2 linked regions of the Struthio camelus genome follow. The main gene of each other region encodes a partner of the protein of the gene in region 2 in a complex. Links are inferred from orthologs where the notes say so. Each region holds a gene or a part of one and is shown on either strand. Other genes may lie near its edges.

Region 1 (15,199 bases), on a different chromosome or scaffold from region 2:
GTCTTATGGTATATCATATCAGTGTCTAGTGTTTCCCATCCTATGAAACAATGACCATTTTATCTGGATGACTGCTAAGAGGTCACTTCATGGCACTCTAACCCATTTCAGTGACTTGTAGTTAGATATTTTTCTTTGAAATTGGGCTTGGATTCTTTTTTCCTCCCCAACTCATTTGAGCTAGTAAAAGAGAAAAAGTCAAAGGAAGTCATTTCTGTTGCTTTCTTACTTTCCTTTATAGTGCCTATAGTTCAGCTCTTGCAGCTGGTAGACTTAGGCCCAGACTTAGATCTCAGCTGAGACAAGCTGTTATGCAGTACCAAGAGCTATTAAAATACAATTAAGGATTAATAGAAACATGAAATTTTTGTATAGAACCACCTTAACCATATCTATTTTTCTGAATTCTGGCTTTTGATATTCCTGAGATTTCTAGCAAAAAAGAAACTAGAGAAAGTAGATGAACAGCTATTATAAAATTCTTTGCAATTCAAAACTTTAGCTGCTACCCTGAGAGGTTTCAGAAACAATGTCTGAATCAGATACCTAAAAAACTAAACAAATACTAGCAAGAGCAAATTTCTAGCCCTACTAGAATGAAGATCAGATTTTGCAACAGAATTATTCCCAAAAGGCTCATCTACCTCCTGAGAAATAATGTTGTGATTAAATGTGTCCTAAGGAAACATCCACAATCACAGAACAGTGAAAACAGGTTTAAGCTCTGCCTGCTACCCTTTTCAAGATGAAGAGCAGCTTTGATCACCCATATCAGTATAACATGGCAAACATTCCCATCAGCACCCATAGACCAGGCAGCCCCTTGAATAAAGGGAGGGTCTCTTGCTGCCTGCCCCCATCTTTAGGTTTCCTAGAAACCACAGCATGAAAGGAAGATGGTTGCACATCCACACTGCATCTTCATGTGAAGTAAGGATGGAGACATAGTATGCCTCCAAGGAGCAGGACTACAGGGTATGCACTATTGATCCATGCCAAATTAATCCCAGTTCTTATGTAGAATATTTTCATCTTTTATCAACTTGCAATCATTAAAGCATATCATACATTTAAAGCAACAAGTGAGCTAAAAAGCTAGTCTTGCAACTGCTTGTAGTTACATAGTATGTTATAACATGACCAGACTATCTTGCTTCACAAAACCCAAGACCATTACACTTAAGTTGTAAACAAGCTGCCTAACAGTTCTGGAAAAGGTACCGCAGTCTGTTGGTTCCCAAGGCCACTTCAAAGATTCAATAAAGCATAGTAAAGTCATCTATAGATAATCTGACAGATGTCTGTTTTTAAGAAGCAGATTTTAAAAGCTGTTTGTTGAAGGGCTCTTGTGTCATTATTTCCTCATTTCCTTTTGATAGGATCTGTAGGTCAAAACACTTTCCATCCATCCCTACACGCTGTCATCTGTAATAACATTCTGCACATTAATCTATAATCTCATCCACACTTGTGACAACCCATTTAAAGTTAGAAAAAATGGCAGAGGTTGCTCAAAATCTTTGCATCTGTTGAGCACCAATACCATTCCTTAAGGTAGCTAGATGAAAAAGCAACATACTATTAAGAGTAGCATACAGAGCCTAACAATTTAATTACAAACATGGGAAACACTGGCCCAGTGTACTTTCAGCTATAATGCTGAGAACACAAATAGGATGTTTAATATTTTTAATTGTATTATTTTCCAAACTGAGTGAGATACTGAGGAATACCAGTCCAGGCAAACTGTACTAAAATGCATCAGAAGATTAGGGAGAGCCATGGGGCAGGAAGGGGGGGAAGACAGCTTCCAGTAACATTTGTCAAGTCAAAGCTATGGACCAAAGCAGATGTTTCTGGTAATTTTTCAGACACATGCCTGTCCTTTCTCCCTTGACTGCTCTCAGATAACCCTATAAACCCACACAAAACCACCTTAGCATCCATGATATTTGTGACACACCTCCTCCTACACGTACCTCTTAAGAGCATGTAGATGACACTGAAACCATTGCCACGAACACTGAATAATGGTGCATCTTTTCATTCAGCTTTGTGTAGAAAGCTATTTGGATACAGCTCAATGGTAAGAGGTGTTTGTACATTATTAGCACAAAGGCTATCACTGCTAGGGTCCCACATACTACAGCAATCATTGTAGTATTTGTGCACTGCTGTGGAAGTGAGCAGCACCTATTTGAAACAAGCCAATGTTTACATACAGGAAGTGGGGAGAGGGGGTCTAGAGTGAAAGATGCCAATAATAGTCTCTAAAGCCACCAGTCTGGTTTCCTTAAACTGCTTCCTTAAAAACCTACCTTGGTCTTCAACCTTGCAGCAAGTAATCCAAACTACATACCATTAATTATAAAATGCAAGCAGAAATACAACTGCAAATCAAGAATTTCATCCCTCATTTTCCAGTCAAAATTAAGGTAAATTGACAAAGCAATTGCTCTTAAGTGTAAAATAGGTTACTAGAGCTCAGCTGCATTATGGAAGAGCATAAAGGCTTTATCTTAGTGAATACCCAGAAAACACCACATCCCAGTAAATTCAGATTCATGGTAAAGATGAACACATACCTGAATGCAGCTCAAACAGCTGTAATCCAAGTAGATCAGAGTACTGCCTAGCAAATAGAAAAGTAGCTTTTTACCTCACAGCAAAGGCTGACTTAATTTTTTCCCACAAAACTGTAACTGCAGCTGATTGGTAGTAATAACTAGGATTCCTGACTTCCTTTCACTAAGGACTTTACTTCTGAGACTTCTTACCAATTAAAAGAAAAGCACCCAATGGTTTATTGGGTGAAAAGAGATCAGAAGTTCAACTATATGCATTAAGCAGCTTCATCTACTATTAATTTTTAGCCTGGTCTCCAATGTATCAGTTTATACAACCACTGCAAGTAGTCATACTGCTTTTCTTTCTTTCTAGAACTTCTGATATCTACTGGTTTAAACAGTTGCTCAGAAGTATCACATACTTACAAGCTTCATAAAACTCATGGTAAGACAGAATCATCTGCCACCCCAATGAAGCAAAGCCAAGTTAGTTAAACTCAACTTTTATCCAGTGTTGTACAGCAACTTTTAGACCTGCTGCTCTTGTAACTTGATGGACAGGATTACTCTGTGCTAGCCTTGGTTCTGGACACAGTAAAAGCAGTGAGGGCCACATATTGCAGTGACAATTATGCAGCTGCAGACCTCTAGTCTGATCAAGCCATACGAGGATCTAAGATATACCATCCTAGATCATATTTTCTTCAGCAGTTCATAACTTCAAGTAAAAGGCCCAGAGTATTATGTCTGGCACCCACCTCCCACAAAACATACATATTAGTTTTACACCCTAGCATGTTTGATGGACAAAGGATGAAGCAATAGAAGGCACAGCATTAGAAGGGCTGAAGGGCCTGTTGAACTACCATAACCATGCAGTCTAATCAGCAGGCACTGACTCCCAGATGAAGTTCAGAACAATGAACTATAGTTCTGCTTAAACCTGATCCAGGCTCTGCTTTAATAGCTTATAAAATAAGCTCCCTTTCAAAACATTGTTACTACCACATCTTACAGACTGTGTGTTGAGTCTACTGAAAATAGACAAGTCCAGTATTATACAAGTTAAACTAGTCTTTATTAAAGATACAAAACTACATGAAATTTTAACTGAGTAAAAGTTTCAGAACATGCTTTAAAGGTCATTCAGAGGTGGCATATCAATGATCTCATCCAGAGTAGAAAGAAAATCAGCAGTTGATTGTAGCAAGTCTGAAAGAGTTAGAAAGAGTAAGTCAGTTCAAGAAACAGAATTTTACTTTAGAACACAAACTAGATCCTAACAGATTTGCATAAGTCTCTTGAAAGACTCAGATATGGTTGGATTGCATAAACCAGTTTAACTGATTGGTTAGCAATACATTGCAACTAACTGCTCAACAACATGACAGACTACCTGTACTAAGAGAGCTGGCCAGCAGGGAAAAAAATCACCATAGTTACATGCCAACAGTTGTTTGATACCAGACTCCTATTCTGGTAGTATTAGATAGCAATGACAGTTTCATTATTGCAACAGCCCAATAGCTTCCCTCCCAAACCACTAATAAGCACTTGCATACACTGAGCTTCATGCACATCTCCACTTACCATGCTCCCATGACATTTGGGGGAGCTTCACAGGAGAAGGAGCCATGTTTACAAGTCTGTCAGAGGTACTTTCAAATATCATGAGGGGAACACCACTCAGTGTCAGATGGCTTAGTCGGTGCTCTTCAGGTACATCAAAACTCTCAAAGTCTGTTCACAGAAAACACTGTAGTTTACTAGCAGTGTACACCAACACTTACAGTAGCCTTGGAAGCAACAAGTCCTCCTAAGTTTAATTAGGACCAGGTCCAAAGCACCTCAATTTAATAGTCCATTTATGGGGTGCTTATTTGCAGTTACAATCAACTGTCCATAAAAGCCCATATACTAATATTTAATCAAGAGACAAGTAGACTGCAAAACAAAACTGCTAATATGACCCAGGAGCCATTAGTATGGTGACTGAAAAGCAGTTCAAGTCAACTACATCAAGCAACACATGTTTCAACAACACTGAAGTCTCCAGTATAACAGCTTTTATATACTTCCACATAAACTATTTCTAGAAACTAGAGGTTTGAGGGCATATAGGATTAAAAAAGCACTGCAAGTTGTTTGCATAGATTCTAAGAACAGCTTTAGAGATTTTAGATTTCTACTATACAACTACAGGAGTAGGATTCCTACTTCAGCAGGAGTCTCTCCAGTTACATATTGCCATCTGAAGTATACACTTAGGAAAAGTCTACACTTCAGCACTGCTTAAGACCTTCTGAGCGCTTGTCTTCTCGATGCCATTTAATAAGTTAAGAGACCATATCTTAGTATTTGAAACCAGCTTCCTGCCACCACAGTAGTGGCCTCAGAAGACTACGTGTCTTGAGTGCAGCTACTGCAGTTAGAAACATTCAAACAAGAATGAGGGGGTACTCCTAAGTAGTGAGCATCCTTATGTTTAAGGAAGGATGCCAGAAATGCAATGCCAGTTTGGTTGCCACAATAGCTTGGCCAAAGTCTTGAGACAAATCAAGATTCAAACAAGAGCCTGATTGTTCATTCTGATAACTCCATCAATAATTTCTTACCTAGAGGATCATAGGGAAACATATTTTCCATTTCTGGATAGGCTTCTTCAGCTACTGCATCACAGCTTTCTAATCCAGCAGTCTTTTCAGTAATCTTAAGGAAAGAGGCACATTATTCATCTGAGCTACTGTAATTCCTCCTTTTAGGACCTATAGTAGGGGCTTTTCTGTGATGTATAGATCTACAGACCAGAATGCCTGCAACATAGTCCTCAGTTATGCCTAAGTTCTAACACCTTCAGTGCAAATAAGCTGCAGAAGGGCAAATGCTTCAACTGAGTTAGTGTAATGATATACTATACACAGGGGCAACAGATCACCACACTAGAACATTTGGGTTCCCAGTATTAGCTCCTACTACTTAGGATGTCAGCAAAACAGGAAATCAGGCTATATCTTCTCCAGAGTCACTTCTCCGCCCTTGAATATTACTCAAGCTGTACCTACATAGATAAGTTGTGTTATTTTTCCTGCAGAAGTACTGCACTCACCTTCTTTGCAGTGCAAGGCTGATTCTTCTGTTTCAACTGCTCCTTCTTGCTTGTTGCTGCTAGAGTTCGGTTCACGTTTCCAAGCGCCTTTCTGACAGAGAGGGATGTGGCTGGAGATGTACTGATCTTTTTTTTTGGAAGTGGAGTATGGACTTGTGTTCTTTCAGATAAGACTTTTGCTGGGGGGGGGGGAAAAGTAAGTTTTGGCTCTATAACAAGCATAAAGTTTGCTTCACTATGTGCATATGTTGGAAAACTAGGTGTCATAAAAGCACTGTTCTCTGCTTATAACTTAAAAGCATAAGTGTTCTCTACCATGAAAGCACATAGTTATTTTCACTTTTATATTAACTGATATGCTAGATACAGGTATGCAGAATAAAACTGTACTAACATCCAAAACAGCAAACAGCAAATCCTTAATTTTGTGGTCTTTACTCCATCCTCTGATTAGTTTACTCAGTGCAGCATATACTCACAAGATGCTGAAGGCCGTCTTAACTGATTCTTAGTAGCACCAACTTCACCATTCTCTTTATCAATGAAAATTAGTGTTGCCATCTTCAAGCTGATGAGACCACTCTGGGAAGCCCATGAGTAGAAAGAAGTCAGTTTTTATTGTCTCTGCTACAATAGCACACTTTAACAAGCTACATTACAGTTGCCCCAGGCTGCTTCCTAGAGGAGCAGCCAAGACATACTTCTCTCCATTTGGGAATAATTTTCTTTATCAGTGCACACGATAGTCTCAAAATTCCCAGTGCAACTTGCATGAGTTCAGGGAAGCAGCAAGGTGTCACTGGTAATCCAGAGTACCTCCCTGCACAGCTAAGAAAAAGCTCACCAGATCTCACTTCCATTGCTTAGACAGACAGGCTATTCACCACTCAAGGAGGAAAAAAAGCCTCCAGAAAAAGCTGCCTTGAGGTAAAACTTGGAATTTAGAGCTTAAACACAAAGCCAAAGCAAAATTCACAGCCACAGACCTCAACGCCATCTTCTGGCCAGGCTCCAGGAGCCATCACCTGCTCACACCAAGAAGAGGCCTCAGATTTAGCCAAGCAAAACCTGCCTTCCCAGCCCAACAGCACTTACCTAGGGAGAGGCCCCCCTCAAGCGCTGCCAACAGACCTGTGCTACGGAGCAGAACAACAGCACCTACAGCAGAGAGAAAGTTGCGCGTTTCAGGCCATGCAAGGCCTCAGGAGGAGGGGGGGGGGGAAGCCGACCGCGGCGGCGGCGGCGGCCCACCACGACCCCTCTCACCTCTGAAGAGCGGCGCAACAGAGGGGTCCGTCCTGCCGGCGACTTTTAAACCCCCGCCGCACCTCCCATTGGCCCGTTAGACTAACGCTCAGGCTGCCGATTGGCTGCCGCTGGGCGCGCGCGGCGGGCAGGGCGGGCAGGGCGTGGCGCGGGCAGCCGCAGCGGCGGCGGCGGCGCGGCGTTGCTGTGGTGACTGCCTGGCCCCGCCCCAGCAGGCGCGAGTTCCGTTGGGGGCGGGGCCTGAGGCGGGGCGCGGGGCATTGTGGGGCGCGGCGGTGTGGCGGTGTGGCGCAGCGGAGCCGGTAAACAAGGGAGGCGGAGGCTGGCGGGGCGGTCAGGGCCGCTCGGGCTGCTCGAGTCGGGGCTGCCGCACCGAGCTCCCCGTGGCAGGTCGGGGGCGGAGGGGTCACCGTGCTGGGCAGGCTCCTTTCTCTGCGGGCGGCCGCTTTGGGCCTGGGGAGGTTCCCGGGCCCTCGCAGGGCGGTGGGCCCCGGCCCGGCCCCGGCGAGGTGCTGCTCGGTGCGCCTGGATGAACACATTTACTGATCTTTTGTTACAGAGAGAGATATAATGGCGTCTGGGACAGTAATTAACGCGACTCCTTCGGGAGGATCAAGTGATGTTAGCCTGGAGGAACCAAAGAAGATGACAAGGGAAGACTGGAGGAAAAAGAAGGAGTTGGAAGAACAGAGAAAACTGGGAAACGCGCCTGCGGAAGTGGATGAAGAAGGAAAGTAAGTTTTATTAAAGCTACGGTCATTCTAAAGTAATAGGGTTTAAAACTAGGTATTTTGCTTATTGCGATTACAAAATCGTGAGGGACAGCACAAAAGGTGAACGCGGAACTGAATTATTGTACTTCGTGAATTTACTTTTAACGTTCCAGCCTTCTTCAGATGTATAGATTTTTGTTTTTGCAAAAGAATAACGTATGTTCAGCGTTGGTCTGATCTGTTGGGATGCTGCTAAAAAGCCCTGCCCTGTGCAGATCTTTACAAGTGGTATTTTAAAAGAGAGCAAAAGGTAGTGCTGGGGAACTTAACTGTGCAGCTTATCAATTTCTTTCCTTCTCTCTGTGGTTTCTGCAAGGCTCTTCACCGTCTTATTGCACCTGTTATTGTCTGTGATGAGAAGGGATATTACTATTTTTGTTATAAGATAAGTCTTCTGTTATAAAGACAGAACATCAAAAAAAGTCTTTATTTATTATACAAACTTAGAAAGCATTGTAACAACTTGGGTGGTTATTTTACGATCAGCCCTAAAACGCTGAAGTTGAAGGTGAGAGTTATGCATTAGGTTAAGTTGCTATTCTTTTCCCCTGCCATGTATTTATTACGTGATATCTTTTACAGAGATATCAATCCTCACATTCCTCAGTACATATCTTCAGTGCCATGGTACATAGATCCTTCTAAAAGACCCACTCTAAAGCACCAGAGACCTCAGCCAGAGAAGCAGAAACAGTATAGCTCCTCTGGAGATTGGTACAAACGAGGAGTTCAAGAGGTATGCAAAATATTTTGGTTGTAAAGATAAGATTTGATTCTGTGAGAAAGGAAGAATAGAAACGTTGGTTCCTATAATCTTCTGTGTTTTCTGGTTACATGTTTTAAAGACGACAGGAGCCGGGAATTCTTCCTCAGCAGACGTTTCACAGTGTTTAGTGATAACTGAGATGTGTTATGGCTTTGTGGAGAGCATGAATACTTTGCTTGCATTGAAAAAATGAGGTAGTTATTAGGAATGCGTCTATGAATCTTGGTGGAAGCTTGTACAATGCTGTTTTTTGTTGTTTTTGTTTAGCATGCTGTAGCAACGAAATATCGTAAAGGAGCTTGTGAGAACTGTGGTGCATTGACACACAAAAAGAAAGACTGCATGGAGGTAAATTTGACCTTTGATGTTTTAATGTTTTTGAAAACAATGCAAATTCTTCTCTAGTGGAAAATAGCTGGTTATAAATAACAAGAACGTTACTAGTTTCTCAAATATTGAAGCGTTGCTTGAAAATTTCTAAAGTAACCTTTAGGTAGGGGGGAAAAAAAAACCATTCAGGATGTTGCCTATCAACTGTATATGAAAAGAGCTGCAATAATAGGTGAAAAGGTTTATCATTTAATTTTTTGCATTAATTCGTTTTTACTCAAGTGCTGCTGAGGCTAACCTTTTCGGTTGCATGTCAGTTAAGAACACTTTCCAGGAATTGTAATTTAATTCCTTTCTTAACTGTGGAAGATAGGGTTATGTGGGGCTGCAGTAAATTGATAGGTTTTAGACAGTTGCATTACTATAAAAATCTAGAAATGAACTACTTACTTTTACTTACGATTCGTTTCTAGTGCTGGATTAAATCAGCTTTAGAGCAGCTTAATTGATACCATATTTTTAAAGTGAATAATATACTTCAGTCTAATGAACTGATCCAACCATTTCTTTTTCTTTCAGAGACCCAGGAAAGTTGGAGCAAAATACACCGGCATGAACATTGCACCAGATGAACATGTGCAGCCTCAGCTGATGTTTGATTATGATGGAAAACGAGATCGTTGGAATGGTTATAACCCAGAAGAGCACATGAAGATTGTAGAGGAATATTCCAAAGTTGACTTGGTATGTAGGTGCTATAATTTACTGGGGAAAAATTCTGTGTTTGGCTGGGGATAAGGGGAGGCACGTGTGCTCTGTGCGCTCTGATACTAGATCTTGTGCTGTATTCATAATGAAAAACAGAGATGGAGTCTGTGTTTGATAACCAACTTAGACTGAGCTGGGAACTCAGATCAGAACTGGCAACTGAAAATGGGTCTGCACAATAAATGAGTTCTCTCTTCAAATTGTTTGTCTTTTACTAGGCCAGCCCTAGAATTCATTACCCAAAATGAAGATTGAATTACAGAAAGGAATTTATAGGCTGGCTATAATGATCAGAGCTAACATCTATATTCATTTCTTAAACTTCATTCGTGTTTTTGTTACTTGTGAGTCCCTTTTGTTACTATCATAGAGCAGTGGACTAACTGTAAATGTCTCTGTGCAGATCAGCACCTAACTGTTGCAGTAATTTTCTAGCTGTATGTACCAAATCCATGTGGATACTGTTAACTTCATATTAAAAAAGTAGTTCACCACCTTGGCTGGATGGTAGGCCTGTTCCAAAAGGCAGTTAGATACCTAAGTGCCTTTGTGGGCCTGATCTGAGGATTTGAGTTTTTCCCTATAGTGCACAGGAAAGCTAATGCTAGATGAAGGTATTCTGGATGTTAGTGATGTGATTTTTGTATATGTGTATTAATGTGTGATGAGAGAATATTAAGAAGACAGAGCCAGACTCTTCTCAGTGGCGTCCAGGGACAGGACAGGAGTCGCTGAGTTGAAACTGAAGGGCAAGAAATTCCATTTAAACATAAGAAAAAGCTTGCTTTCACTGTAAGAGTGATTGAACTTGAATGAGTTGCCCAGCGAGGTTGTGGAGTCTCCACCCTTGTTGATATTCAAAACCCAGCTGCACACGGTCCTGAGCAAACTGCTGTAGCCGACTCGGCTTTGAGCAGGGTGGTTGGACTAGAGGATCTCCAGAGGTCCTTTCCAGTCTCAGCCATTCTATGGTTCTGTGATGTCAAACATACAAAATTTCACTACGTGGCTGCTTCAGAGTCTCACTTTAGACTTCAGTATTTCCTGGATGAACCATAAATGCTTGCAGTATAAATCATGACCTACCTCAAGCATTGAAGTTCTTAACTAGATTCAGCATAAAAGGACACAATAATAAAATATGTTTGTTCTTAAACTCTATTGAAATGCTTTGAGCTTTTTCTTAATCTAAAAATTGATGGTTAGGGAGTATTTTTAGGAAGTACGTAGGGATAGTATAGCCGCGTAGTCTCTAATAAACTCTTTAACAGAATAATATGAAACAGCAAAATGGTTAGTATATACACATTTCCTTTCCTTGATCTGAAAAAATATAACATGGTAAATGTAAGAGTAGGGTAGGCAAGCTGGGCTGCTGTTTTTTGACAAGCACCCAGAGAATTCGCAGCCCACGTTTTGTAATAATTAATACTTGTTAAAACGATAGTGGTCGTAAGAGGTGCTTGTGATGAGTCTTATTACACACTTGGGATTGAAAGAAAGTATTAAAACAAGTGCATTTTAATGATATGCAGGCCAAACGTACGCTGAAAGCCCAGAAGCTTCAGGAGGAGTTAGCATCAGGAAAGCTGGAGCAAGTGGTAAGGAAACTAAACCCTAATTCATTTTTGTTTAGGCTGAATAAAGATAAAAAGGTCGCTTTTGCTCTCTGATGCTCTTACTCTGCAGACTGAGTTTCCTATTGCTTTCCGTGCCCTTCAGTAACATGACCTGCCTGAAGCATTGAAGTAATGCTTCAGTGCTTCGTAATGCATCCATACTCTGTGTTGTTTACGTGAATGCAAAATACCTTTTTTCAAATGAAAGTGCCTTTGTTTTTCCCCTCATAGGCAAGACTTTCCTGCTTCAGTTCTGGCAATTAGTATTTCTTGCTAAAATGAATGATATGGAATTGTGGGTCAGAAAAAAATAATTTCCCATGTAGTAATTTTGTTCACGCACTAAAATGAGAGTTTTAATGTAAAGATTGTTATGTCTGACTAATGTGGTTATGACCATTATGTGACTATGGGTTGCTTGATTAATGCTTCATATAAATAGGAATAGGAAGGCATTTTCTTTTCCTTAGAACCAAACTTGTATCTTCCTCAGTTATTGATTCACTCTTTGCAGTGTCTTTGGTTATTTGAAGGCTGAGGATATGCAAGCTTCTTGCTTGCAACTCCACAGAGTTTGCATCTTCCACTAACTTCTGCAAGCTCCTCTTGGATTATCTAGTCAAGGCTTCTGATAATCTTTAATATAAAATTCTAATTTAAGAGGTATTTGTGATAATTTTCTAGGTTTATAAAACGAGGGGGAGTAGAGATCATTACTGGTGAGAAGTATTTTGAGGGGTTTTCTTAATCAAAATATTATACTGTAAGAAAAAACACACTAACCAATAGAGTACGTACAATTGGGCCTCCATTTTCCATATGTTGTCACCTTGCATTTTGTCACTAGATGGCAGAGTAAACTTAATCTCCAACCAACACAAAATACATAGTAAGCCTGAACTTCTTTCCAGGTGGATAAGGTTCTTATTCTTTTTGCCACCATAGAGCAAGATTTTTAGCCTCCGTATATTTATTCCTTACAAAATAGAACTGGTAGAAGAAAAGTATATTTGAAACATAAAGAACCATTTCTGATAAACAGAGAAGCAAGACTGGTGCCTCTTCTCATAACTGAAGTCCTTGAAGACCAGCACTCTTGTTTCAGTCTTTACTTCCCCAAGGATTCTCACGTTAGAGGCTAAACAGATTCAAAAAAAAAAGGAAAAGTTTGGCTATATTTCTCCAGATGAGGTTATGGCTCCTGATTTATGCTCTGTATTCCCATCATTCTTAATTAAATATCACGTATATATTTGTTAACGTATAGTTTGGGGGGTTTGAGGGTTTCAGAGTTGAGTCATATTTTTTTGACGTGCTATGAGTTATGCTTTTGAACATTAATGTTTTAGACTAGAATAACAGACTTTATATAGTAGTGATAGTTCTGGAATTTACCACTCTTGCAAGGGCTTGGAAATTCAGTTGGGAATACAGTAAAAAGGTCTCCAACATGTTTCTGCAGTAGATCCGCTTACAAGCTCTCTGTCTTAAAACGTTTAGATGGGAGTGGTCTTTGTGTGTTTTGTGACCCAGTTACTGTATTTTTGCTTCCAGTAAGTCTAGGCCATAGGAATAAGCTCTGCTTTGGTTGTTCTTTATCTCCCTGCCTTCTTCCTTCTCTCCATTATCTTGTGTTCTCTGCTGATGTGCTTTTTGTTTGCTGCAGAACTCCCCGAGACACCAATGGGGAGAAGAGGAACCAAATTCACAGACAGTAAGATGATTATCCACTGCATCACACCATGGGGGAAGAAAAAAATCTGTAGTTAGTGAAGCAGTGAAACAGGGGTGGCAGGAGAGTTTCAATACTGGCTTCATGCTGCCCTTTTTTTTGGGCAGAGGGTGCTGGATTTCATAGCTAATAACTCCTGTGTGTTGTCAAACCTTAGAGGTGCAAGAGAATAACTAGTTTTTAACATGTTGTATATTTTGATCAATATAACTGTTGTCTTAACATCATCATAGTTGTGTTTTTGTAACTCTTTCCACAGTGCAAATAACAGTAACAAGGGTATTTCTGAACTGTGGAATATAACTGCATGATAGATTAGCATACTTAAGCCCAAATAAATGATACTAACTTTTAACTACAGGGTCTGCAGAATTTTTAATCAAACCACTAAAATCAGATTCTTGTTTCTAGAGTGAATGCTCATTTTTATGTAGAAGTTTCCTATCTCTGAATGTTCGTTTTAGTTAGAAGTTTCCTCTCTCTCTCCTCAGGAAAGAGATCATAACAGTGAAGATGAAGATGAAGATAAATATGCAGATGACATTGATATGCCTGGACAGAACTTTGACTCTAAAAGACGTATCACAGTTCGAAATTTACGTATTCGTGAAGATATTGCAAAAGTGAGTATAGAGTTCTATTACTGATCTTTTATATACATATTTCAAAAATTGCACTATTATTAATGAATTTGGTGTTTAGAGATTAAGGTGTATTCTCAGTTCTACTGCTACGCGTGTTATGATTTCTCAAAGGTCATCCCCTTGCACAGATTTTTCCATTTTAAAGTGTCTAAGTTGGGGGTTACAGTACTAATTTTGGTTCTATTAAAATCATAAATTTTTAATCAAATATCTTGTATGTTGTTTTCTTCCCCTAGTACCTCAGGAATCTAGATCCAAACTCTGCTTATTATGATCCCAAAACAAGAGCAATGAGGGAGAACCCATATGCCAATACAGGCAAGAATCCAGACGAGTAAGTTAAAACAGAGAAACGGTCAAGTATCCAACAAAACTCTATTTAAAAAATGAGATTACTTTAGTAATTTTGTATTTCCTTGCATAGCTGTGTATCTTTATTAATGAATCCCTAGTCCATTATGGATAGAAAAGTCTTTCAGTAATACTGTATGGTAAACATGAAAAAATTGTTGTTACCAGCATTTTCTGTTTTGTTTTAGTGTTTAAAGTAGTATTTTAATGATCCTCAGGGACACGAGGACCACCACTTGGTGTGCTGATGTGTGTATGGAACAAGGATAAGAACAGTCTACTGTATCTAGAGATGATACCTATAAGCAAAAATGATGTTTATGAAAAGTATTTCAGTAACTGAATCTAAAACTTCATCCCTTACTTGTTGAGAGGCATTCAGCAGTGGATACCTAGCGTGGAGTATCTGTGGTGTCTAACTAAATGCCTGAATCCGGAGCAAACATTCCCCGTCTATTAATGGGGTCTGCGTACTAAAGATCTGAAAGTTTTGGCTTTGTTTAGATGGACGACTTGATTAAAAAAGAATGCCTTAAGCTGGCTTTTGGCTACACACAAGACTGTCTTGCTTAAAAACCCAAGTCAAGCACTTGAGCTGTGACCCAGCCTTGACCCATGTAGTGCAGCAGACATACAGAGTAGACAAGCTGTGACTAGAAACATTTATTCAGAGTACAGTAACTGGATTAGCTTGCTGTCTAAAATAGAATGGCAGTGGTTAAATACTGGCAAATAAGGCTCTTTCCACCTCTCCTTGCCCCCAGCTAGAATAATGCCAGTCAGTCCATTTTATTTCGGATGCAGGAGCTTTCACTTCTCTCTAGAGTCATAATTTGACCTTTGTCGAATCCATGTTTTTGCAACAGCATTGCAGATCGTGAATTTTTCAGAGTGGTTTTTGTGGAGATGAAAAGAGGGGGAAACTGGACTGTTAACAGTATTTGATTTTCAACCTGTGGTTCATATACTCTTTGTGAGTCATTTCAAAGGGATGTGCAAAAGGTAACTGAAGAAAGCAAAGCTATTATCAGGCTTTAACTCGCTACAGTACCTGGTGGGAGGGAGAAGGGATCTACAAATCCAAAACCTGAAAATCACTGTGCTAGAATATCACTTGCCATTCATATGTATTTATTGTGCAATTAGGTTGAAGCTTGGCTTCATGGTGCTTGGTATCCCATGCCCAGACAGAGCTCCCATTCTGCATTTTAAAACATATCCATATAAACATAGGCATCAAGCGTTCTGGGTTGGTATCTAATGCTTTTATGACTTTG
Region 2 (14,478 bases):
CCAGCTTCCAGGTGCTCCCACAGCTTCTCCTCAGGCTGGGGGCCGGCCAGGCTTTGAAAAGCCAGCGTGGCATAGCCCGTGGCCATCAGATCATCCAGCAGCTCCAGCGCAGGCAGGGCCCGGCCGGTCACTGTCACGGAGCCACCCCACGGCTTGTCCCGCAGCACAGCGGCGAAGCGGGCGGCCACGGCGGTGCAGCGCTGCAGCGTGGCTTGGAGCAGACCAAGCCCTTCGGCCGTGTTGCCTGCCGCCAGCTCGCCCTGGGCGCAGGAGAGCAGCCAGCGGAGGCAAAGCGCCGAGAGGGTCAGGTCGGAGCACAGGGAGCAGGGACACGTGGAAGGGTGGGCAAGGAAGGCCAGGCATCTCCTCTGCTTGGGTTTCAGCTCCGGCGACGTGGTGAGAGCAGTGGGCTTTTCCGGCCCGCTCACCGTGGCCACAAACTCAAGCGCGGGGCCCTTCAGAAAGCCCTCCTCTTCCCTGGGCAGCTCCGAGCTGGGATCTCGCTGCTTCCTGCCCTGAGGCTTGCCCTTCCGGGGCAGGATCTTTATTTGCCCTTTCTGCTTCTCGTTAGCTTCAAACTCTGCAGGCAGAGGGGAGAGAGACAGGTTAGTCCGACATCCTCTCCGCACCGCTCTCCTGAACTGCGCCACCAGCTCCCGTCACGTTGCCTCTCCCAGCAGGGCTGCCCTCTTGCACAGAGCTGACATGGAGAAGGGATGGGGGAAGCCAGGCTGGGATATTCCAGCGCTCCCAGTCTTTCAGCCCAACAATTCTGCTCCCCCAGAGGAGCCCGGATGGGCTTTTATCAAGGGGGGGAAGTCACCCAGCAGGCTGAAACATGGTTCACCAAGTTTTGTGCCCAGCCTGCCTCCACATCTTGGGCAAGCAACTGGCTGCTCCATTAGTGTCTGCACAGCATACACTCCGAAAAGCAGGCACAAGCAGTGTCCCCAGCACTGCCCGGGCTCAGGGCTCATGTTTCCTCCATCCCCTTCCTTCAAGCCAGGAGGGGGAACTCACCAGTGCCAGACTCCAGGAGGAACAGGGCCTGCTGGAGGTCGGAGCGGCTCAGCTCCAGCTCACTCCGCTGCAGCTCCAGCTGGGCCTTCAGCACAAGGAAGGCGGCACACCTAGGAGGACACAGCGCTCAGAGCCCCCCTGACAGCCACATCCCCAGTGCCTCGCTGGAGGGAGGGAAGCGGACAGCAAGAACAAGCCTGTTTCTGACCTGGTAAGCTAAACCCACGGGACAGCGCATCCCAGGACAGTCTAGAGCAGCTGCTTACTCCCAAAGCCAAGCAGCAGCCAACCCTCCCTCCAATGCTAGCTCAGCCCTGCCCACAGGTCCCCCAGACTCAGGCAAAAGCTCTTCCCACCACAGCCACTCACCACCGAATCGCTTGCAGTTTCATGGCCAGCTTGACAGCCTCCAAGCAGAAGGCTTTGGCTTCGCATACCATCTCCACTCTGCTGAGGAGAGCTACGAGGCGCTCCGAGCAGGCCAGCAGGTCAGCCAGCACTTGCCACTTCTGCAGCAGGTTTTCCCCTGCAAAGGAAGACAGGCAGGTGACCAGAGCTGCCCTTTGGAGTTCTTCCAGAGGAGCAGCTGCTTTTCAGTCCACACAAGCAAATAAAACTCACCACAATCCACAAACTGAACGTCTGACGCAGTCTTGTGAGAGCCCAGCACATTGCTGCCCATCAGCAGAAGGATGATGCTACGGAAAAACTTGTGGGCTTCGGTGAGAGCAGTCTCAGGCGTCCTCCACCCTGCACGACAGCCGTCATGAACATCAGCACTCTGCCCAGCATGAGATCAAATCATCCCTCCTCAGCCCAAACACAGCACACAGCGGGAAGGTCTCCAGTGGGACTTTGAAGAGCCATGCAGACTCCAGCTCCAGCCAATTTGGAGAAACCCAGAAGTCAGTGTTTGCACAGAGCTTTGTCAACAACCCCTGCAGCTCTCATCGCTGTGGGGCTCACCGAGAGGAGGGTCTGACACATCCATTAGGCCCCCTGGCAACCCACCTTGAGCAAAGATCTGCTGCCTGAGCTCCTGCGAGAGGTGGGCAGCAGGAAGGCTCAGGTAGACTGCTGTTAACTGAAGGACGTGGGCTCGGAGCAGGTACCAGACCTTTGCAATCTTCTGCAGAGCTGGGTTCTGGAGCACTTCCAGCAGCAGGGCAAGGCCTTCTTCAACCTGGAAGCGGAAGCAGAGATCAAGAGAAGGAGAAAAACTGTCACCATTCAGGGTCCAGAATATTTCCGTGTCCACCAAGGTGGGCTAAGGTGGCTAGCAAGAGGATATTGAAGACTGCCAGAGCTGTTGAGCTCTCCTCTTGCTCTCTGACCCCACATTGCAAGCAGAAAAGGGTTTTCAGCCCAGGCCCAAGCATCCAGATCTCCCCAGCGGAGGGGCCCTTGCAGGGCATACCTGGTGGCTGGTGCAGCAAAGCTGGCTGCGGAGCAGAAGGCAGGTTTGCTTCAGCAACAGGTAGGAATCGCCACTGCTGTCGGCCTTCTGCAAGCAGGACTCCGTCTCCTCCAGGAAGAGCTGGAAGGAGACAAGACAGCATGAGGGCTGCGGCCTCAGGGGAACAGCCAAACTCGCCCAGCAGCCTTGCCCTCCCTGCTGCCCCGCACTTGCCTTGGCATAGCTGGGACACTCCAGCTGGAAGAGCAGCTTGGTAACCTGGCACAAGGCACCAGCCATGCCCAGGCTGTCTCCAACCGCGCTGCACAGGGATCTGACCAGCAGGTAGCTCTCCAGAGCCTGCAGGGGCTGGGGGCAGGAAAACCCACACAGTTATGCTTGGAGACAACGCCAGAGGGATGTTTTGCCCCTGCAGAGGCTGCTTTCCCTCCAGCTGTCTCTGTCGCACAGTTCAGCCAAGCCCCCAGCAGCATTACCCTGGCCATCAGTCTGTAGAGAGCTGCCATGAGGTGCAGGGAGGCCACGGTCTGCTCCAGGCTGCGCACGCCGGGAACTCCCTTCTTCGCCAGGAGCTGCTTCCACAAGGCGAAGGCATCGTCCAGGCTCTGGGACTGAGCTAAGCACACGTCGTGGGCCTGAGCAGCTTCTCCAGGCAGACCACACCACTGCTAACACCACCACCACCCCCCCCTCCCAGCCTGGCTGCACAGCAAAAACAGCTGGGAGAAAAGGCATCTCCAGCAATGCCTCCAGCTTGCAAGAATGCATTTCCCTGCTGTCCCATGGGGCAGAGCTGCAGAGGAACATCTCCCAGTGTGCGCTCCCTCCCCACATCAACCCCATCGCCATTCCTTCCTCGGGCAGAGGAACCTCACTGGCTGAGGGGGCCTTTGCCACAAGAGGCTCAGTCACCACATGCTCACCAGACTCTGCAGCCAGGTTGAAGGCGATGCCGTCGTACAGGAACTTGTCCTCCTGCAGCTTGTCTTCATAGTTGAGGTCATTGGGCTCAAAGTCATCCAGGTGCTTCTGCCCCTGAGCTTTGGCTCTCTGCTCCCTCTCTATGCTCTGTGGCAGGTTAGGAGGCAGCAGCAACACATGTTAGGAGACGCAGGCAGGGCTTCCAGCCCCTTGGGCCCTGCTAGGGCTGCAGAAAGGCTTTTGGTGGCCTCAAAGGGAGAGGGCTGAGCAGGGAAGAGCTGAAGGGGGCCATTTTCCATAGGCAGTGCCTTCAGCTGGGAGGCACTAGGTTTGCCCGCACTAGTTGAGCGTAACTGGGAACCCAGGAAGCCTGAAAGGTTTCAGGAGGGTGGGGAGCTGCTTTTCCTCTTAACTGCTGAGTTTGGAGGAGATCTGCACATTAGGCATGTGCACAAAGTGGTTCTGGTGCCCTAGGATCACTGCAGCTTTTCCAGACCTGGGTCACCCATCAAGCAGGTGCTGCAACCCAGTTCAGCAACCTGCAGCTCCCCTTTGCTGCCCTCGCCTACCTCCTCTAGTTTGGACTCCAGGGTGCAGATGTACTGCCAGAGCAAGGCCTGTGCTCGGTCATCGAGGAGCTCATCCTGGTTCTGGGCGGTCCTGGGCACAGACTCCAGGAGCCGCAAGGCCTCTCGGATCGAGTCCAGGGAGGAGCTGCCAGAAAGAGGGATTAGAAACACAGCCTTCTGCACCCAAAACTCCTGGAGTATTTTAGGAGGAGAACTAGATATACTTAAGACATACCTAGAACAGGTTTGTCTTAAGCAATAGCACCCCTAAACCTTGTAAATCCCTTAAGTACCCTCAAAGGCTCTTTCAGGGCTCCCAGAGACACAGGACAGAGCCGTGTTTGGATATAGCTCTCCCGGTACGCCTGTATCCACCCACCAGTCCGTGTGCGCCGCGTAGTCATGATAACACAAGACCTGGGCCAGCTCCACCAAGCCGATGGCCCGCTCGTGCACACAGCCGCTCTCCTCCGAGCAGATCTCCAGCAGGTCGCAGATGACATTGTAGCGCTCCTGCCCCGTGTTGGCCCGCACGGTCTTGTAGGCCTTCAGCTCTTCGAAGAGCACGGCCACCAAGGTCCCAGCATCCAGGCAGCGCCCCTCCAAGCCATCCTTCAGGGTCCTGGGGAAACGGGTGCTATCTGGGTGGGGGGTTCTGCGCAGACACCACCCCACACGCGCAGAGCACCCAGATCTTGCCTTACCGTAGCCGTATCTCCTCAGCCCCCTGCTTCGTGGCGTCCGTCTTGACTCTGGCCCAGAGGGAGATGGGCTCTGTCATCTGCTCCCTGATCTTACCCCGCAGGGCAGCCAACCACTGGACGATGGACACCAGGGCTCTCTCGAACCGACCCAGCTTCCGGTAGCTCTCCACCTGCAGCCTGAAGCATCTGTGCAGCTGTGGGGAGAGCATGAACAGTGCAGTAGGACTGGCTTCAGCACCCTGCAGAACTCCTTCTCTGCCTCCCTTGGAGAGCAGAATCGCATGCTGCAGCCCCTCATGTGGCTACTCACCCTTTCTGGGGGTATCTCTGGGTATTTATAGGCTTCTGCCATCTCCAGCCTCTTGCAAAAGAGCTCAGAGAGGGAGCTGGCCTCCTCATGAAGATTCTGGCTGTAGAAGATGTAGGCCAGCTTAAACGTGCACGATGCTGTCATGGATTAAAAAACAAATATTAAAGGCACTCTGGAGAGAGGAGTTACCCTCTTCCCTTGTCCAGCAAGGACTAACGCCCTTCACACTAACCCTACAAGCTACGCTCTTTCCAGCTGAGAACCCAATGCTCTCCAAGCCCCGAGCTGCCTGGGGTGAGGCAGATACTGAGCTGTGCCCCTTCACCAGGGGCTTCAGACAGGGGGAAGGGTCCCAGTTGCTGTCCTAGGAGGCGGCACCACATTTGACCCACACCTGTGCAAAAGAGCCAGCTTCGGGCTCCCCTACTGCCACGGGGACACTGACCGGTGACATCGAGGTACTCTGCTCGCTCACTCGCGGGGAGCCCCTCCAGGGCCGCCAGCATCCACGCCACGGTGCATCGGCAAACCCCCAGCAGCCGCTCCAGGCCGGACCACCCGACCGCCTGCACAACAGCCACAGTTAGCGGGAGAGAAGTGCAGCGGCAGCCAACGAGACCCCTCCAAGGGGCTTCAGGGCTCAGCCACGTTGCCGAAAGCACTGGAGAACCCAGCCTGCTGCCCAGCATCGCGCTCGCAGCTTGGCCAGGGTCTCGCCCAGCCCTGCGCTGGGGACTGTCCCCTCCGCTGCTGGTACCTGGGAGCACTGGAAGGCATCGTACGCCACGCTGGTGAAGAGCTGGAGGCTGTGGTAGAGCAGCTGTTTCACTGTTAGCTGCTGTTTTATGCTGTCGGGAGGAATCTGCAGAGGGGAGGAAAGAAAATAAACAGTGTTTTCGTGGTCCTGACAGCACCAGGCTCCAATGGTGCGTGCTAAAAAGGACAGAGATGCCAGGCAGGGCTGCTCTGCTGATGGATTAATGGGAGCAACAGACTGTCAGGCAAGCCTAGAGCATGGTTGCATCCCTCCCGCTGCTCGCAGGACCTCTAACGAACAAGACAGGCCACAGTGGGTGGCCGCCCCCACTCCTGTCTGAAGCCTTACCCGCTCCAGCAGCCTGTGGAGGACGCAGCAATACCCCTCCGTGAAGGCACAGAGGCCAAGAACATCCTCCCGACCGAAGGGCCTCCGCTCGCTCCTCTTCGCGTACCCGCTGAGGGACGAGACGATGAACTGGCAGCTCTCGGCCAGCACCCGGACGAACCGCTCCGAGACCTTCGCCGCAGAGCCGAGAGCGGTGGCCGCCTGCGAGAACAGCGGCCCTGCCTGGCCCACGCTCTCGGCGAGCACCCGGCTCAGCCGGACCCCGGCCTCCAGCAGAGCCAGGGGGTCATTAAAAGTCTTCGCCGAGCTACCAGCTGCACCCAGAAAGCTGCGGGCTTCTTTCACAGCCTCCATGGCCTCCCTGTAGCAGCCGCTCTTGCAAAGACGCCGGCATCGCTCCAAGGTGAGCTCGAAGAAGCACAGGGACCGCTGCGGGGTCGGCCGCTCCGCCGCGCCGCCACCCTCCCGCAGGGCTGCGAGCAAGCAGCCGGCCAGCTGCCTGCTGAGGAAGACCGCGTCGTCCGCGCCGAGGGGCGCCCGCTGGCCTTCGAACATGACGGCAGCCGCAGCCGCCTGGCGAGCCGTCTGGGAGGTGAAGAAGGGAGGCTCCTGCGGCAGCAGGGGAGCCCCGTCGTCCTCCAGCAGCGCCAGGAAGCGCAGGGCTCGCAAACGAGCCGAAAGCACGGCCCTGCTCTCCTCCGGCGCCCGGCTGGCTTTGGCCAGGGCGTCCGCGCCGTTCCACAGCACGCTGAAACCGCTCCTGGCGACGGCCCCGAAGTCCTCGGAGGGAGCCTGGCGGGGCCGGTAGGTCAGCAGCCGGGCGCGGAGGAGATCGGCCACCCTCCAGCAGGCATCGTCGGCCCCCTGGGCGACCACGTTCCTCAGCAGGTGGTAGATGATCTTCTCCAGGTAAAGGGGAGCGGGCTGGGGCGTAGCGGCGACGTAACCCCGGCACGCGGCCTCAGCCAGCGCCACGAGGCTGGCGGCGTGCGCGGGGCAGGCCCCCGGCTGTCCCAGCTGGTGCACGCAAGCCCGCAGGACTCTGTCGCACACGATGCTCTGCCGAGAGGGCTGGTTCGCCCCGGCCGAATCTTCTGGGGCGCTGGCAAGGCATTCCTGGAGATAAGAGACCGTTAGCGCCCCGATACGTGGCGAACCCAGCCAAGGGTCTTTCTGGGTAGGGTCTTCCTCGCTGCGGGGAGCAGAGGGCACCCCAGAGCTGGGGGTGGGGGTGGTCAAGACCCCCCCCCCAATGCTGCAAAGGGTCTACCCCGAACCTCACCGTCAGCTCTGAGAGCAGCGTCTCCGTCTCCTGTCGGCTGCACGTCCGTGCCACAAAATCAGCTCCTTTCAGGCGCATCATCTTGCTCCCAGCCTGCCACACGGTGGGGGGGGGGGGGGACAAGTCAGGGTGGGGACAGGCTGTGCTCCCCCCAGGGGACAGGGGTCCCTTGGGGCTGCCCAGCACCACCCAGGCAAAGAGGCAGCAGAGAGCCCGCCCCGGGGCCTGCAGCCCCCCAGGTGCTTGCAGCTCCCCCAGCCCCACTCCTCAAAGCCCTCCCCAGGCTTGCAGCCCCCCAACCTCGCTCCCAGCCCCCCCACAAACCGCAACACCCCCTACAAGCCCCCAGGGGCCTGCACTGCCCCAGCCCCACAAGCGCTCACAGGCTCCCCTAGGGCCTGCAACCCCTCCCCAGCCCCACTCCCAGCCCCTCGAGTGCTCCCAGCCCCCTGCCACGGCCTGCAGACCCCCACTGCTCGCAGCAGCCCCCCCCCGGGGCCTGCGACCCCCCCCGCACTCACGCGTCGCCACCCGCAGCCGCCCGGGCCCGGCCGCGCGCCCCGTTCAAATCTCCGCCGCAGCCAATCGGCGCGCGGCACCGCCCCCCCCGCGCGCTGCACGCCGGGAGTTGTAGTCCCCGCCCGGGGGTGGCGCATGCGCGCAGGGTGGCGGCCAGCGAGGCACCGGCGTGCACGGACCCCTGTGCAACCCCTGTGCACACGTGTGGGTGTGCAACAGGGAGCTGGTGTGCACGGACCCCTGGGCAACACGGGGCCGGTGCGCACGCGTGCAGGTGTGCAACAGGGAGCTGGTGTGCACGGACCCCTGGGCAACATGGAGCCGTGTGCACACATATGGGTGTGTGACAGGGTGTCTGGGTGCACAGACCCCTTTGCACCAGGGAGCTGTTGTGCACACAGATGAGTGCACAGAGACCACTGCGCAGTGAGGAGCCAGTGTGCACACCGAGCAGTGTGCAAAAGCTGCTGGTGTGCACAGACTCTTGTGCAACAGGCCTGCATACGGGAGTGGAAAGGGTGTCAGGGTGCGCAGAGCCTTGTAGAACAGTGAGCCCATGTGCACACTGACGAGCGTGCAACAGTGAGCTGCTGTGCAGGGACCCCTGTGCAAGGGGGAAGCTGGAACGCACACAGATCAGTGTGCAACGGGTGTCAGCGTGCATAGGCCTCTGTGCCACGAGGAGTCAGTGTGCAGGGTCAGTGCGCAACGAGGTGCCAGTGCATAGCAATCCTTGTACAACGGAGTGCAAGAGTACAGGGATCAGCATGCAACACAGTGCTGGTGTGCAGGAAAGCGTGCAGCTGGTGCCCCTGTGTGTGTGCGCAGAGATCCTCATGCAACAGGCTGTCCCTGTGCACACGAATCCGTGCGCAGCAGGGCTGCCAGCGTACGCAGGGATCCGTGTGCACCAGGGCACGTGCGCGTGCGTGGATCAGCGTGTAGTGAGGCACTGATATGCACACAGGTCCCCGTGCAGCAGGACTGTCAGCGCACACGGATCAGTGCAACAGAACCACGAGCACATGCACAGATCCCTGTGCAAAGGGACTGCCACTGTCTGGCACGAATTCTGGTGCAACAGGGGCACTGACGCACGCACGGATCAGCGTGCACTCCTGCTTGAAGTGACGAGGTTTGGTGTCCACCAGGCCAACCTCTCTGCACACCGAGCAGCGTGCAACGGGCTGCTTTGGGGAGGAAATAAGGAGAGCGACACGCCAAGGAAGGCACAGAGGGAAACCCAGCAGCACCTCCTGAGCTTTGCAAAGCACCAGAAGCACGCAGGTCTCGAACCAACCATTGTCGGTTTTTATTTTCTTTAAAATAAAAAAAAAAAAAAAAGAGAGGGCTGCTGAGCTCGGTGTGCGGAGCAGCCAGGGGTAACACATCCAGCGCCCGGACAGCGTCTCGTCCCTGTGCTCGCCTCCAGCTATCCCAAGGAGTCCAGCGCTGAGCAGTGTGCGCTTCCAATACTTCACCTTCCGTAACAGCCTTCCCTGCCACCTCAGACATTTGGCAGTTGCACAAGAGAAGATGTGAGGGAGGAGATGGAGGCAGTTCGGGTTGGGATGCTTCGGGAATCACCAGTCAACCGGAGGCTCACCTGCGCCGTTGTCATCTGTGACGGTGCTTCTATCGCAAGCATTGACCGGTCACAGCTGCTTCCCCCCGCGGGGGCTCCACGGACCCCCCTCCACCAGCAGGGCAGGAGTCTCGGGGTCTGACACGCTACAAGCAATACTCGCTCCCCCAAGCTCACAGGCCATCTCGCAAAGGCGCCAACTTTGCGGTCCAACAGCTCATCAGAGCTCAGGGGAAGACGGGTCCGTCTGTCCCTGCGGAGCGGGCACCCAGAGCTCCGCGTTGTTGCGGACGATGGTGAAGAGGCTGACGACGGCGAGCAGTGCCATCACCATCATCACGGAGCAGATGGTGAACATGTTCCTGGTGCCCGTCTTGTAGTCACTGTCGTGGAGGATGAGCATGCCGAGACAGGCCAGCAGGTTCAGGGGGACGCGGAACCAGTTCATCACTCCCACCTGGTCCTTCTCCGGGATCACCTTCCGCCGGAGGAAGCCCATGGCAGGGAAGTAGAGCCCGCAGGAGAGCTCGATGAGCAGGAAAGCCAGGAAGGATTCAGAAGGGCTCTCCTGGCCAGGGTTGGTGGAGAAAGTGAGCATGAAGAGGGAGAAGAAAACCATGAGGACAGAGAGCGAGAGGATGTGGATGGGCTGGAGGTGGTACCTTTTGGAGATGGCAATCCGATAGAGAGAAGAGCCCACCATGCTAGCTGCCATGAAGCTGGAGAAAACAATGCCCAAAGGTGAGCCGTGAGGATCCAGCACAGGTGTCCAGAGGAAGATGAAGATGTAGATGACGCTCTCAAACAAAGCCTGGATGGTGCCCAGGAGCAGGACGCGCCGGTCTGAGAGGAGGCACTTCAAGCCATCCATGCAGGTCTTGGAGAGTGCCCTCTTCTTCCCATAGTTCTCATCCCAGTTTTTCATGGCAAAGATGCCCGTCAGCATGAGGAGGGGGATGGAGACCATGAAAGGGGCCACCGGGCCCAGGCCCAGCCACTCCGCAAAGAAGTTGGCTGCCACCCCGGCCCCAATGGCAATGACATTGTTCCAGAAAGCAGCTCGCGAGAAGGTGGCGGGGATCCACTCCGCCGGGAAGTCGTAGCGCTCCACATGCTCATGAACGTACCATGCCTCGAAGGCGGAGAACAGGAGCGCTGTGGACAAGCCGCCTAATATCCTCCCGACCACCAGGACAAAGTAATCCCAGGAGAGTTTGGTGAGGCAGCAGACCGAGTAGGTCAAAGAAAAGAGGATGCAGGATTTCTTCCGGCCCAGCCAATCCACCAGGGACGTAGAGACCAGCCCAAAGAGGACACTGGAGGCAAAGCCACACACGTAGATGATGGCAATCTGCCCCTCCAGGAAGCGGTAGTGCTGGTAGAGTTTGTAGAGGTAGGGGCCCTGCAGCCAGTCGGCGGCCAGAGCCAGGAAATACACCTGGTAGTAGTCCCGCTGGAACTGGAGGAAAGCCGGGTTGGTGCACGCGCTACCGGTGAGCTTGGAGCGGCAGGCGGAGAACTCCAAGCCCAAGCATACGGCCAAGAGGACGGCGAAGGCGGCATAGGCGGTGAAGAGCATGGTGCCTCAGAGCGTCACGGGCATCTCTGGGAGAGAGGGCTACCGCGAAGCTCCTGAGAGAGGAGAAGAAAATGCCGTGACATCCGGATGGGAGGTGCACTGTTCTGCAGGAGTGGCCCCGAAGCAACCGCTCTGCTGCTCTGCCCACGCAAGCCGGGACACCTGGGCACCCCAAGGCCGTCCTTCCTCAGCAGCTGATTTTGAACTGTCAGCCCTCAAAGCTCTTGGACCCTGGGTCAGATGCCCATGAGGACACAAGCCGCAGGCAGAGCTGACTCCGGCTGGGAGATGGGAAGGGCTGCGGCAGACGGGAAGGGCTGCATTTACTGCAGAGCCACAGGGTGGAGCGAAGCAGTTACGAAACTCGGTCTGAGAAGCAGGAAAAACTCCACAGGACACTGGTCTGCCAGGTCACAGACTGGTCTCCATAAAGGCAACACCAGAAGTGCCATCACTCAGAAATGGAGAGTGCAAAGCCCATCCTGCGGCTCCTCCGCGATCGCTCGTAGGAGCCTCCTTGTCCCTCTACCTCTGCTCCCCAGTGACAAGCCGATCCGCAGAGGCGGAGGAAAGGACAGCTCCACCTCCAGCCAAGCCTCAACCCTCCACCCCATTGTACACTAATTTCTGCCTCTCTGCCAGGAGGTGAAGCTACAGTCCCCATCCGCAGCGTTCCCCACAGTGACCTGCCATCCCAGCCTGTCCCTTGGGGCTCGGCTGTGGCTCATCCCATGGCGCCAGCCCCATCCTGCTCCCATCTGCGCCGTGAGCACAAGCCCTAGAAGAAGCGGTCCGCAGTGAGAACAAGGCCGTTGGCAGCACAGTTGGTTTCAGACTCTTTGATGACTCTCCTGTGCCTACCCAGAAAGCCAAGGGGTTCAGGGCAAATTGCAAACAGAAAAGCTGTTTAATAGCAGGAAAAATAAAGTCACATCCTGTTTTATTTGCATTCTATGGGGATGGGATAGTCCTCAGGGTAAGAAAAAGCACGTGATATGCCGGGAGGACTGACGAGATCCAGGATCTGTCTGTCAAGGGTTTGGCTTCACTCCTAAACCAAGTGTTTGAACAGAAGTGCTAAAACAGCCTAAGAAAAAAATCCAAAAAACTAAAACCTCTGGTTTCCCAGTTGTATTATGTCCAGAGCCTGCCTGTCCCCAGGCACTACAGAGGCTGTCCCCTGCTCCTGTCCCTAATCCTCATTTCCAGCCTGCCCCTCACATCTTCCTCGCTGCTGCCTTGCAGCCGAATCTTTCCAGGTGACTTAAAAAAAAAAAAAATAAAATAAGGCGAACAGGTCTGTGTAGTCGCAGGGCAGGGCTGGGCAGGCAGCCAGGGCCACCACCGTCTCACCCTGTCACCTGTCCCCAGCTCACCTGGGTGGTCTCTGCTCCAGGGGAAGCCCCGCAGCATCCGGACAGTCCTATGGGTTGCAACCAGCTCCCGGAGATGCCAGGCCCCCGCCGTGAGCCGCTGTCCTGCCAGAGCGGACGTCCCCCTGATCCCGGGGCGTGAGAAAACAGGGTGAGGGTCTGTCCCTGCTGCCGGGAGACGGGTGAAGACCGTGAGTGGCCGCAAGTTTTGAGCATGGGCGGCCCCAGGCAAAGCCACCGAGCCCACGGCAGCTCCAGCCCCTGCAGCCCCTGGGGCAGCTCGTGCCCAAAAGGCACCTCTGGGTTTTTTGTCCCCCCCCCCCAAACTTGGCCCCATGTCACTCTTCTGCCCCTGGCAGCCCCCTCCCCACACCCTACCTAAGGCCCCCCAAGTCATCCCCCCCCCACTGCCCTATACATCCCCACAGCCCCCCGGATCTATACGTCCCCACTGCACAGACCCCACAGCCCCTGTTCTGTATGTCTCCACTGACCCCACGGCTCCCTCCCAGGCAGCCCCTCCCACAGAGGCCCCCAGCCCCCCTCTCAGTGACCCCCCAGCCCCACAGCCCCCCCTCTCAGTGACCTCTCAGCCCCATCTAACCCTACAGTCCATAGTCCCCTTGAGCCCCTCCCAGGGACCCACAGCCTCCAGCCCCACACAGCTCCATAGGGCCTCTCTCGGTGACCCCACCAGCTGGCCCCACACAGCCCCTTGGGCCCCTGCAGTGTCCCCACTGACTCGGCCCCATACAGCCCCTCATTGACCCCCTCTGGCCCTACACGGCCCCTCACTGACCCCCTCTGGCCCTACACGGCCCCTCACGGAGCCCCCCCCGGCCCCACACGGCACCTCATTGAGCCCCCCAGCCCCACACGGCCCCTCACTGACCCCCTCGGCCCCACATTGACTCCCCCAGCCCCACACGGCCCCTCACTGACCCCCTCGGCCCCACACTCACCCCCCAGCCCCACACGGCCCCTCACTGACCCCCCCGGCCCCACACTCACCCCCCAGCCCCACACGGCCCCTCACTGACCCCCCCTCGGCCCCACACTCACCCCCCAGCCCCACACGGCCCCTCACTGACCCCCCCCGGCCCCACACTCACCCCCCGGCCCCACACGGCCCCTCACTGACCCCCCGGCCCCACACTCACCCCCCGACCCCACCTGCCCCTCAGCGGGGGGAGAGGCCGCGCGCTCCCGGCGCCCGCGCGCACCCGCTTCCGCTTCCGCGTCGCCGCGGCCGGAGCCGCCGCGGCCGCCGCCATCTTGGCAGGCGTCACGTGACGCGGGCCCTGCGCTCGCCCCGCCCGCCCGGCCTGACCTCTCCCCTATGCCCCCCCCCCCCAAAATAACGGAGCCTTCCCCCCAAAATAACAGGCCACCCACCCACCCCCTGGTGGGGGGAGACGGGGATGAGACACCAGCCATCGCCATGGTGCTGCGCCCCCCCCACCGTTGCCATGGCGACCGTGGGGGCTGCAGGGGGCCAGGCCGAAGCCTGTCATGGCGGCCGGGGGGCCGGGGGGCCGCCGGGGGGGCCGCAGGGCAGTCACGGTGCAGCCATGGGGCAGCTGCGGGGCTGATGGGCGCTGTGGCAGGGCTGTGGGGTGGCTGTGGGGGCTGTGGGGCAGCCGCAAGGGTCGTGGGGGCCGCAGGGTGGCCGTGGGGCGGCTGGGGGGGGCTGGGGGGGCCACCAGGCAGCCATGGGGGGCACAGGGCAGCCGTGAGGCAGCCATGGGGGCCGCAGGGTGGCCGTGCGGCAGCTGCGAGGGCCGTGGGGGGGCTGTGGAGGCCGTGGGGCAGCCATGGGGCAGCTGCAAGGGCTCTAGGGCAGCTGTGGGGGTTGCAGGGTGGCCGTAGGGCAGCTGCGAGGGCCGTGGGGGGGCTGTGGAGGCCGTGGGGCAGCCATGGGGCAGCTGCAAGGGCTCTAGGGCAGCTGTGGGGGTTGCAGGGTGGCCGTAGGGCAGCTGCGAGGGCCGTGGGGGGGCTGTGGAGGCCGTGGGGCAGCCATGGGGCAGCTGCAAGGGCTCTAGGGCAGCTGTGGGGGTTGCAGGGTGGCCGTAGGGCAGCTGCGAGGGCCGTGGG

Evidence for each region.
Region 1: the proteins of ESPL1 (region 2) and PTTG1 are in contact, whole or in part, in a cryo-EM structure (PDB 7NJ1), measured with the Homo sapiens proteins. The link is inferred for Struthio camelus from reciprocal best matches to the Homo sapiens genes ESPL1 and PTTG1. Residues at the interface, in NP_036423.4 of Homo sapiens: His402, Thr405, Val406, Tyr409, Ser461, Asn462, Tyr465, Tyr468, Arg505, Arg508, Glu512, Glu544, Thr547, Phe548, Arg551, Gln590, Lys593, Ala594, Val595, Arg596, Thr599, Gly600, Arg603, Gln634, Cys637, Tyr638, Trp683, Ile686, Glu690, Ile697; in NP_001269311.1 of Homo sapiens: Tyr111, Pro112, Glu113, Ile114, Glu115, Lys116, Phe117, Phe118, Pro119, Phe120, Asn121, Pro122, Leu123, Phe125, Glu126, Ser127, Phe128, Asp129, Leu130, Pro131, Glu132, Glu133, His134, Gln135, Ile136, Ala137, His138, Leu139, Pro140, Leu141.

What each region holds. Positions count from the first base shown.
Region 1 is NC_090954.1:14,383,973-14,399,171, reverse strand, and holds PTTG1 (securin), read right to left. Parts: upstream 7,159-15,199; 5' UTR 6,940-7,158; intron 6,832-6,939; 5' UTR 6,769-6,831; intron 6,256-6,768; 5' UTR 6,235-6,255; coding exon 6,153-6,234; intron 5,853-6,152; coding exon 5,674-5,852; intron 5,277-5,673; coding exon 5,183-5,276; intron 4,308-5,182; coding exon 4,158-4,307; intron 3,780-4,157; coding exon 3,703-3,779; 3' UTR 3,622-3,702; downstream 1-3,621. Other genes in the region: pre-mRNA-splicing factor SLU7, read left to right, coding at 7,510-7,673, 8,295-8,448, 8,746-8,826, 9,388-9,552, 11,112-11,177, 12,862-12,909, 13,419-13,550, 13,808-13,905. UniProt on the Homo sapiens protein: Regulatory protein, which plays a central role in chromosome stability, in the p53/TP53 pathway, and DNA repair. Probably acts by blocking the action of key proteins.
Region 2 is NC_090969.1:1,557,693-1,572,170, forward strand, and holds the start of ESPL1 (separin), read right to left. Parts: upstream 7,938-14,478; 5' UTR 7,850-7,937; intron 7,422-7,849; 5' UTR 7,410-7,421; coding exon 7,329-7,409; intron 7,163-7,328; coding exon 6,047-7,162; intron 5,804-6,046; coding exon 5,699-5,803; intron 5,508-5,698; coding exon 5,387-5,507; intron 5,079-5,386; coding exon 4,942-5,078; intron 4,826-4,941; coding exon 4,632-4,825; intron 4,550-4,631; coding exon 4,307-4,549; intron 4,073-4,306; coding exon 3,928-4,072; intron 3,506-3,927; coding exon 3,361-3,505; intron 3,054-3,360; coding exon 2,914-3,053; intron 2,786-2,913; coding exon 2,651-2,785; intron 2,558-2,650; coding exon 2,438-2,557; intron 2,204-2,437; coding exon 2,032-2,203; intron 1,771-2,031; coding exon 1,642-1,770; intron 1,547-1,641; coding exon 1,390-1,546; intron 1,131-1,389; coding exon 1,021-1,130; intron 581-1,020; coding exon 1-580. Other genes in the region: MFSD5 (molybdate-anion transporter), read right to left, coding at 9,653-11,011. UniProt on the Homo sapiens protein: Caspase-like protease, which plays a central role in the chromosome segregation by cleaving the SCC1/RAD21 subunit of the cohesin complex at the onset of anaphase. During most of the cell cycle, it is inactivated by different mechanisms.